Linked DNA regions of Xenopus tropicalis. The protein of the gene in region 1 interacts with the protein of each later gene in a biochemical or structural test. Links are inferred from orthologs where the notes say so. Each region holds a gene or a part of one and is shown in the gene's direction. Other genes may lie near its edges.

Region 1 (3,826 bases):
CCAGAGTAAATTGGTTAATTAAGACAAATAATGCACAACAGGTTAATCAGTGTAAGTTCATGAGAGTTTATTATATTTACAGATGATCTTCCAAAACCAAAGACTACTGAAGTGCTACCAAAAGGTTCTATTCCTGAATATACTGCGGCAGAGGAGAAAGAGGAAAGCAGACGCTGGCGTATGTTCAGAATTGGCGAGCAAGATCATAGGGTTGATATGACTGCCATAGAACCATATAAAAAAGTTATTAGCCATGGAGGTAAGAAGAGGTACTTACATGTAATCTTCTGCTCACAATAAAACCATGCACTCATTTTATATTATTATTATTTAAATAGTAATTTCAGTATTACCTTTGCGGCAATGCACTGAGAAACATGTGTGATTTTAGTGTGAGGGCTACACTTTGGATCTATACAAAGTATGTAATGAGATCTCTAATGCATAATCATTGCTGGTAGTTAGTGCAATGGCAAATAAATAGCACGCTCTGCCTCCTGGGAAGGAGGTGGATCGCAAAATAGCAGCACAAGCTTCAAATTGATATTAGGTTAAAAAAAAAGGAGACTAACTATATAAATTACCACTTTTTTTACTTTACATCATTGACCTGTGAGTGCAGTTTTATATGATTAGAAGATGTTGTATTATTTGATAGATAGATAGATAGATAGATAGATAGAAAAGCCCAGAATACTCTGTTAATTATATCTTTATAAATTGTACCTAGTAATGGGATCAATTATAATGACTTATAAAGGACAATGAAAGGTTAATATAAATTAAAAGTAAGTCTAAAGGCATTCTTTTTAAGTACTTACTGCATATCCAAATTCCCAGATCCCTGCTTGCTTCTCTGAGATATGGTGCTGGCAGCCTACAGCCTACAGCCAGCGGCAGCCTTCCCATTCTCTGAGCATGTGTGTAACTTGATCCTGTCTCCTGTTCTGAGCTACACATGCCCACCAGCCAATCAGAAGTGGATCTGGCAGAGGGGAGGGGGGGAGGGAATGAAACACGTGCAGTATGAAGCAAGGAGGGAAAGGAAGGGAGAATACCTTTTTAGAGATGGCTGCCTGTTCTAGAAAATGTGAAGTAAGTGTGACTGAGTAAATATTTGATTAGGTGAGCCAAAAGTGTGGTGTTTTTACTAAACAATAGGAGGACTATTGGGCAGTATGCTTTTTAAATTTTGACTTGCATTCTCCTTTAATGTCAAAGTGTTGTATTTTCACTTGACTCATTGAAACTTGTGTATTATAATAAATAATGCACCCCTTGTGCTAAAATATGCGTATATTAGAAGTCACCTCAAAGTTCCATGACCTGTATAAGAGCATTTCAGCCTTGTGCTATATGGTCATGGAAAAATAAGGGGGTACATTATTCAATATATAATCCACAAATGTGGTCTGCTCCCTCTGTAGTTATGCCTCTGCACAAACATATTTTATTACACAAATGAAAAGATCTAGAAAATGAAAAACCTGTGTTTCTCTTCCACTGACTTATTATAATTATTTTCATTAAAGGTTATTATGGAGATGGATTAAATGCAATTATAGTGTTTGCTGTGTGCTTTATGCCTGATAGTGGTCAACCTAATTATCGCTACCTAATGGACAATCTATTTAAGTGAGTATTGCATTCTGTATTTATTATCTATATCAGTACGATTGTATATAAAGAATTATATACTAAATACTTTATATTTCACTAGCCATGTGTAGCCTGTAGAATATGTCCTTGGAAACTGTTTAGTGATGTTGTTAGTTATTGGTGCTGCTCTTTGGTGTCAGTTGTGTTACTTGAAGCACCTGGGCTCTACTAACACTGAACAGCTGTTGCTTTTCATTAGTCCAATGTTGGTAAAAAAAAATAAAAAAGCCAGTGTCATAAAAACAAATATACCCCTCATTTAAATTATATGCATATTAGAAGGCACCTCAAAGTTCCATAGGGCATGCAAAGCACTCGGCCTGCAGCATCTTGTCTTTGAAGCCCCTCAGTAACATTGAATATACTTATATTAAGTAAGGGGGTCATAATTTACCACACAGATTAGAAACAGAAGGTGATTAATGAAGTCTTGGTCCTTTTGTGTAATACTGCCCACGTGTGGTTGTCCAAACTGCACATATTGGGCAGAATGATGAGACCACTAAGAAATGGTGGCCCCATCTTGTTCCTGGTGACCCCATAAATGGCATTGGGGCTCATATTAGCAGACCAAAATTTTGTATTCTTATTTTTTTGTAATCATCTCTATTGCAGCCACATTGCTTTGCAGCTGTTAGACTAACTTGGTTGTGGATCCACACAGAGAATTTGGTGCTTGGTAGTTTGTGACCAACTTTATTCCTTTTTGCTACGCTTCATTCATTCTGTTCCCCATTTTATTTAGGTGATTGTTAGTACTATGCAACCAGCTTTTTACCCCTTTTTTTTTTGCTGTGTCTTTTTGATTTTGTTCCCAGTTTTGTATTTTTATTTTTCAATAATAATAAGTATCTCTGCTTATTCATCAGGTATGTTATTGGCACTTTGGAAATGTTAGTTGCAGAAAACTACATGATAGTTTATTTAAATGGAGCCACAACGCGGAGGAAAATGCCTAGCCTAGGATGGCTTAGGAAATGCTATCAACAAATTGATAGGAGGTATGTCTAAAGCATCAAATAAATTGGGGGCTACAGTTACAGATGTAAGTTGAATTATGTATTTGAATGCTAATGCATTCAGGTCAATCTGTTGTTAGGGAAGCACAGAAACCAGAATACAGTTTGGAATTCACAGAATCCCAGAAGTTTTTTTTAAAGATTAGGATTTGCCTAAAGCCTGAGCAATCAAGTATGTGACTTAACTGCACTGAACAAAGATGCACAAATGTGCACTCTACTGGTCAACGGTTATATATATTTTTCAATTTTGCTAGACTTATTTTCATGTGGCCTAATCAAATGCTTGTCTTTCTTTATAAAAGGTTACGGAAAAATCTCAAGTCTTTGATCATAGTACACCCTTCCTGGTTTATCAGAACACTTCTAGCTATCACAAAGCCCTTCATTAGGTAATAGAAATGAAATCTGATCTTCTATATTTAATTATTATATTACTACAGTAGCTACCATAATAACCATTGTTGTTTTATTTTGTTTTTAGCTCAAAATTCAGCCAGAAAATTAAATATGTCTTTAGCTTGGTTGAATTAGCAGAACTTATTCCTATGGAGTACGTCAGCATACCGGAATGCATAAAAGAGTATGTAATGTTCTTTGTTTATTTCATTTGTCATTGTGTAGTTAGAAACTTAGTTTGAGACAGTTATATGATAATATATGGTTTAATATTAGAAAGGCAAACAGCTCTGTGCTACATTGATTGCTATAAGTGTGATATTTCTTTTCCTGCTGCCAAATTGCCTTTAACATAAATAATTGGGTACAAGGAATAACCAAGATTCTAATTGTTTGTCCTATAAAACATATTTGATTACTTGTTTTTAACCATTACTGTATGGTTTATAAACTGCAATATCAAATAATACTGATATTAGGAAGTTTTGTCACTAAATTATATGCAAATCTTTAAGGCAATGTGCACAAAATGTATAATGGATACCGAAGGACACAATAAAAAGGAATTACTAAGAATTTAGAAAATAAAGTAAAGTTCAAAGAGATATAATTTGCTCATATACATTGCAATTTACTATTGACATATATCTATACTGATTGTGTATAAATATCCCCTTATCATTGTTTAATTCAAAATTGTTTAGTTTAGCATTTCTATGCAATTTTTTGCATATAGGTGCCTCCATAAT
Region 2 (3,826 bases), on another chromosome or scaffold:
AGGCACAAACAGGCCCCCCCAGCCCAATAAATAGTGACTGTCTGTGGCACCTTACAGCCCCCCTGGCATTCCCAGTACCCAGAGGCACAAACAGCCCCCCAGCCCAATAAATAGTGACTGTCTGTGGCACCTTACAGCCCCCCTGGCATTCCCAGTACCCTGAGGCACAAACAGCCCCCCCCCCAGCCCAATAAATAGTGAGTGTCTGTGGCACCTTACAGCCCCCCTGGCATTCCCAGTACCCAGAGGCACAAACAGCCCCCCCAGCCCAATAAATAGTGAGTGTCTATGGCATCTTACAGCCTCCCTGGCATTTACCAGAACCCACAGATTGCCAGTCCGGGCCTGGGGATGGGGCAAGGTTATGGAGTGTGTACCTAGGGCAGTGCCGTATTAAACAGGAGACAATCCCTGGGCACCATCAGCCTAATATGTTTGTGTTCTATGAATAAAGGCAGCGGTGTAACTAGAAGTTAAGGGGCACTCCCCATTGGGCCCCCATGCAACTCGTAGGCCCCTCAGCAGTCACAGGGCCTGCTCCCTCTGTAGTTACCCCCATGTATAAACTATAAACCGTCTCCTATTTCTTCCCAAACACCCTCTGTTTGCACAAGTTCCGTTCCACTGACCATAAATGAGTTGTTTGCTCCTGCGCCTCTGTCACCAGTAACCAACTGTACGTTATGGCTGCTCCCCCCCCCCCCCAAGGAATCGGTAAATTGACCATGAAGGACACAGTACCTGCCCAGGTATAGGAAACGTTAGATTGCACGGCCGTAGTGACCAGCTATAACCAGCGCATGGGGTTGGATGTACAGTAAAACCTGTTGTTTCTCCACAATGAAAAACATCAGCATCAAGGCCAAGTTATACCTCTTTCTGTTGCTATGGAAACAGGCTACTTGCATTACATGATCTAACAAAACGCTTTATCCGAAATCTCATACATGCCCTGCACAATTGCACAACGATCGCTGATATTATGAGCTGTAAAAAGTACTCGGCTGAGAACTGGCTCATTCACCCCTTTCCTTGTACCCGTGCCAACCCCCCGGGCTCCTTGCCAGCCCTTTGATAAGGATATCAGTGTACCAGCTCAGCGATGCAGAGCCGCACGTTGGCAGGCCTTGTGGTGGGGGTCGTAGCCCTTAGATTCCATTCGGGCAACCCTGGCAGACTCGATACAAATGATTAACCCGGTTTTCAGAAGGGGCAGAAGTACCACAGAACCCTTCTTGCATCTCTAGGTGTTTATTAACCAGCAGGTTTCTCTTGTTTTTCTTGCGTGTGTAATTACAGTGTGACTTCATGGCAGCGTTTAAATTCAGCAGGGGGTTTAAACATAACAGGAAGAGGCGTTAAAGTGGCAATTAACATGTGTTAGTGCCCACCTTTAGCATGGCTACCCTAGCCACCAGGCTGTAAATGTAGCCTCCCACTAATCCCCGATTCTGCTTTATGCTCAATGGGCTTGGTTGGGTTTATGCAGTGTTTATACTGATTGATCAGATGTAATCCTATGCTTAGGGGCAGATAGCAGGGGGTTCTGACTGTGCACGGTCAGCTTAATGTGGGAGCTGAACAGGAGCTTCCCTAGATCTGGACCCATAGTACCCCAGAACTCAAAGCAGTTGCACCTTCTTTATACAGTAGGAAAAAATTTAATACAATTAATGAATGTTCGGTTGCCCTTGTGTAGCTTTATAGTGCTGAACCCCCAAATTCCGCCTAATCCGTCTTCTCCTTGCAGAGATCAGTATGGCGTCCGACCCTCTGTCAGACCTTAACGATGACTTGGATAAGGATGAAACCAACCAGCTGGACCAACTGAAACTGGCGTCTTTGGATGATAAGAACTGGCCCTCGGATGACGTGCAGGATTATCCGAATAACGGTAATGCCTTCTTTTACCGGATTTAAACTAATTGGTGGTAGGTAAACGGCGGTGGCATGGGAAATTCAGTGTTCGTTTTTTTTGTCTTTATTCAGCGAATGATTCGAAGCCTTCCCCTGACCCTGTGACCCACCTACGCTGGGACGACCCATACTATGACATTGCGTGGCGTCAGATTGTAGAGGTAGCAGGTAGGAACTTTCTCTTTTATGTGCTCATCGGACATCCCCCCCCCCCCCGGCATCTCATAAAAGAAAAAAGAAAAAAAACAAGATTCCGAGCAGCTAAAACCCTCCGGCAGCCCCACAGGCTGCTTTACCAACTCCATGTTACCTTTGCCTAGCGTAGGCTGTGCGTGCTGGTTAATAGGTTTCCCTGGGAAGGAAAGGACTTGTCCCAACAGCTCCCAGGGCCTCACCTCAATGCAGTCTATCAGCCATTGTCTAAGGATGGAGGATTCCAATGCAGCAAGTCACACAGAGACCATGGTTTTCATTTATAATTTGCACAGATTTCACCCTTCCAGAGAACTTTCCACGCTAAGTGTTTTTCTTTCTTTTTTTGCCTCTCGTTCTCCCCCGCCCCCCTCCGAATTGGGAAAACCAAATCAGACATTTCTGACATACTTTAGCTGGTGTGTCATGTTTGTGCTTTCCAACCTCTTAGCTTTGCCTTTGTCAGCACCCCCCCCACTCTCAAGCCACAATAAAATGATGCTACTTAAATGGAAATAAACAGATTCAAATATCTTGCCATTTTGGGTAAATGTTGCAGGTCAGGGATGAAATGGTTATGAGATCTTATAGCTGCCTGGAAAGATATCCCATGATTCATCTCTCTGTGGCACCGTACAGCCCCCTGCATTTGATTCGTCAGCTGGGATATCACAGGCAAACCTATTGCTCCACTGGGGCCCTACGGGTGCAGGCACAGGGAAAGGCTGATGCCATTGTAGGGGCTGCGTGTATCCACAGGCAAGGAATTTGCCCAGTGGGGCATTAGCCTTAGGCGGTGAATAAAAGGGCCCAGCCTATTGGTTAGGGTCAGATTGAAAGCTCTTATCTTATTATGAGTTGAAGGGGAAGTCTGACCAAAGGTAGGAAAGGATTTTCCAAGGGACATTAGGTATCACTGCTGAGTGGGTTAGAATGAAGTGATCCTGGCAGTGAGATGTCCATACCCTGTGAGCAGCAGACTTGCAGTTGGTCTCACTGTATGGGAAGCCCTACAGTCTGGGAGGCTGTGCGCTTAAGAACTTGGCTTAGAAATAAAATGAAAGGCCTGGTGTTAAAAAGGAAGTTAAACTTCCTCCCATAATATTTAGTGAGATTTACAGCTTACTGTGTAGGGTGCGTTTCCCCTGTCTCTGTTACAAGGCCAGTGGCACAAAGCACAATTGTGAGCGAGAGTATTGCCCCTAGGCAATAGACTTAAGCAACCTTTTCCCAATAAACCGGTTCTGCTCAGTCTGTGTGCCATGACATCTGTAGTAGAGATGGGCAGGAATAAATCCACTTGGGGGGGGGGTTAAATCCACTTGGGAGGGTGGGAAGGAATAAATTCACTGGGGGGAGGGCAGGAATAAATCCACTTGGGGGGGTGGGAAGGAATAAATCCACTTGGGGGGGTGGGAAGGAATAAATCCACTTGGGGGGGGTGGGAAGGAATAAATCCACTTGGGGGGGGTGGGAAGGAATAAATCCACTTGGGGGGGTGGGAAGGAATAAATCCACTTGGGGGGGTGGGAAGGAATAAATCCACTTGGGGGGGTGGGAAGGAATAAATCCACTTGGGGGGGGGTGGGAAGGAATAAATCCACTTGGGGGGGTGGGAAGGAATAAATCCACTTGGGGGGGTGGGAAGGAATAAATCCACTTGGGGGGGTGGGAAGGAATAAATCCACTTGGGGGGGTGGGAAGGAATAAATCCACT

The links.
Region 2: the proteins of bnip2 (region 1) and arhgap1 form a complex in vitro, tested with the Homo sapiens proteins (2 studies listed by BioGRID). The link is inferred for Xenopus tropicalis from reciprocal best matches to the Homo sapiens genes BNIP2 and ARHGAP1.

Annotation. Positions count from the first base shown.
Region 1 is NC_030679.2:96,408,619-96,412,444, forward strand, and holds part of bnip2 (BCL2/adenovirus E1B 19 kDa protein-interacting protein 2), read left to right. Parts: intron 1-82; coding exon 83-259; intron 260-1,532; coding exon 1,533-1,635; intron 1,636-2,528; coding exon 2,529-2,660; intron 2,661-2,983; coding exon 2,984-3,070; intron 3,071-3,162; coding exon 3,163-3,261; intron 3,262-3,826.
Region 2 is NC_030680.2:12,963,777-12,967,602, forward strand, and holds part of arhgap1 (rho GTPase-activating protein 1), read left to right. Parts: intron 1-1,750; 5' UTR 1,751-1,758; coding exon 1,759-1,894; intron 1,895-1,989; coding exon 1,990-2,085; intron 2,086-3,826. UniProt on the Homo sapiens protein: GTPase activator for the Rho, Rac and Cdc42 proteins, converting them to the putatively inactive GDP-bound state. Cdc42 seems to be the preferred substrate.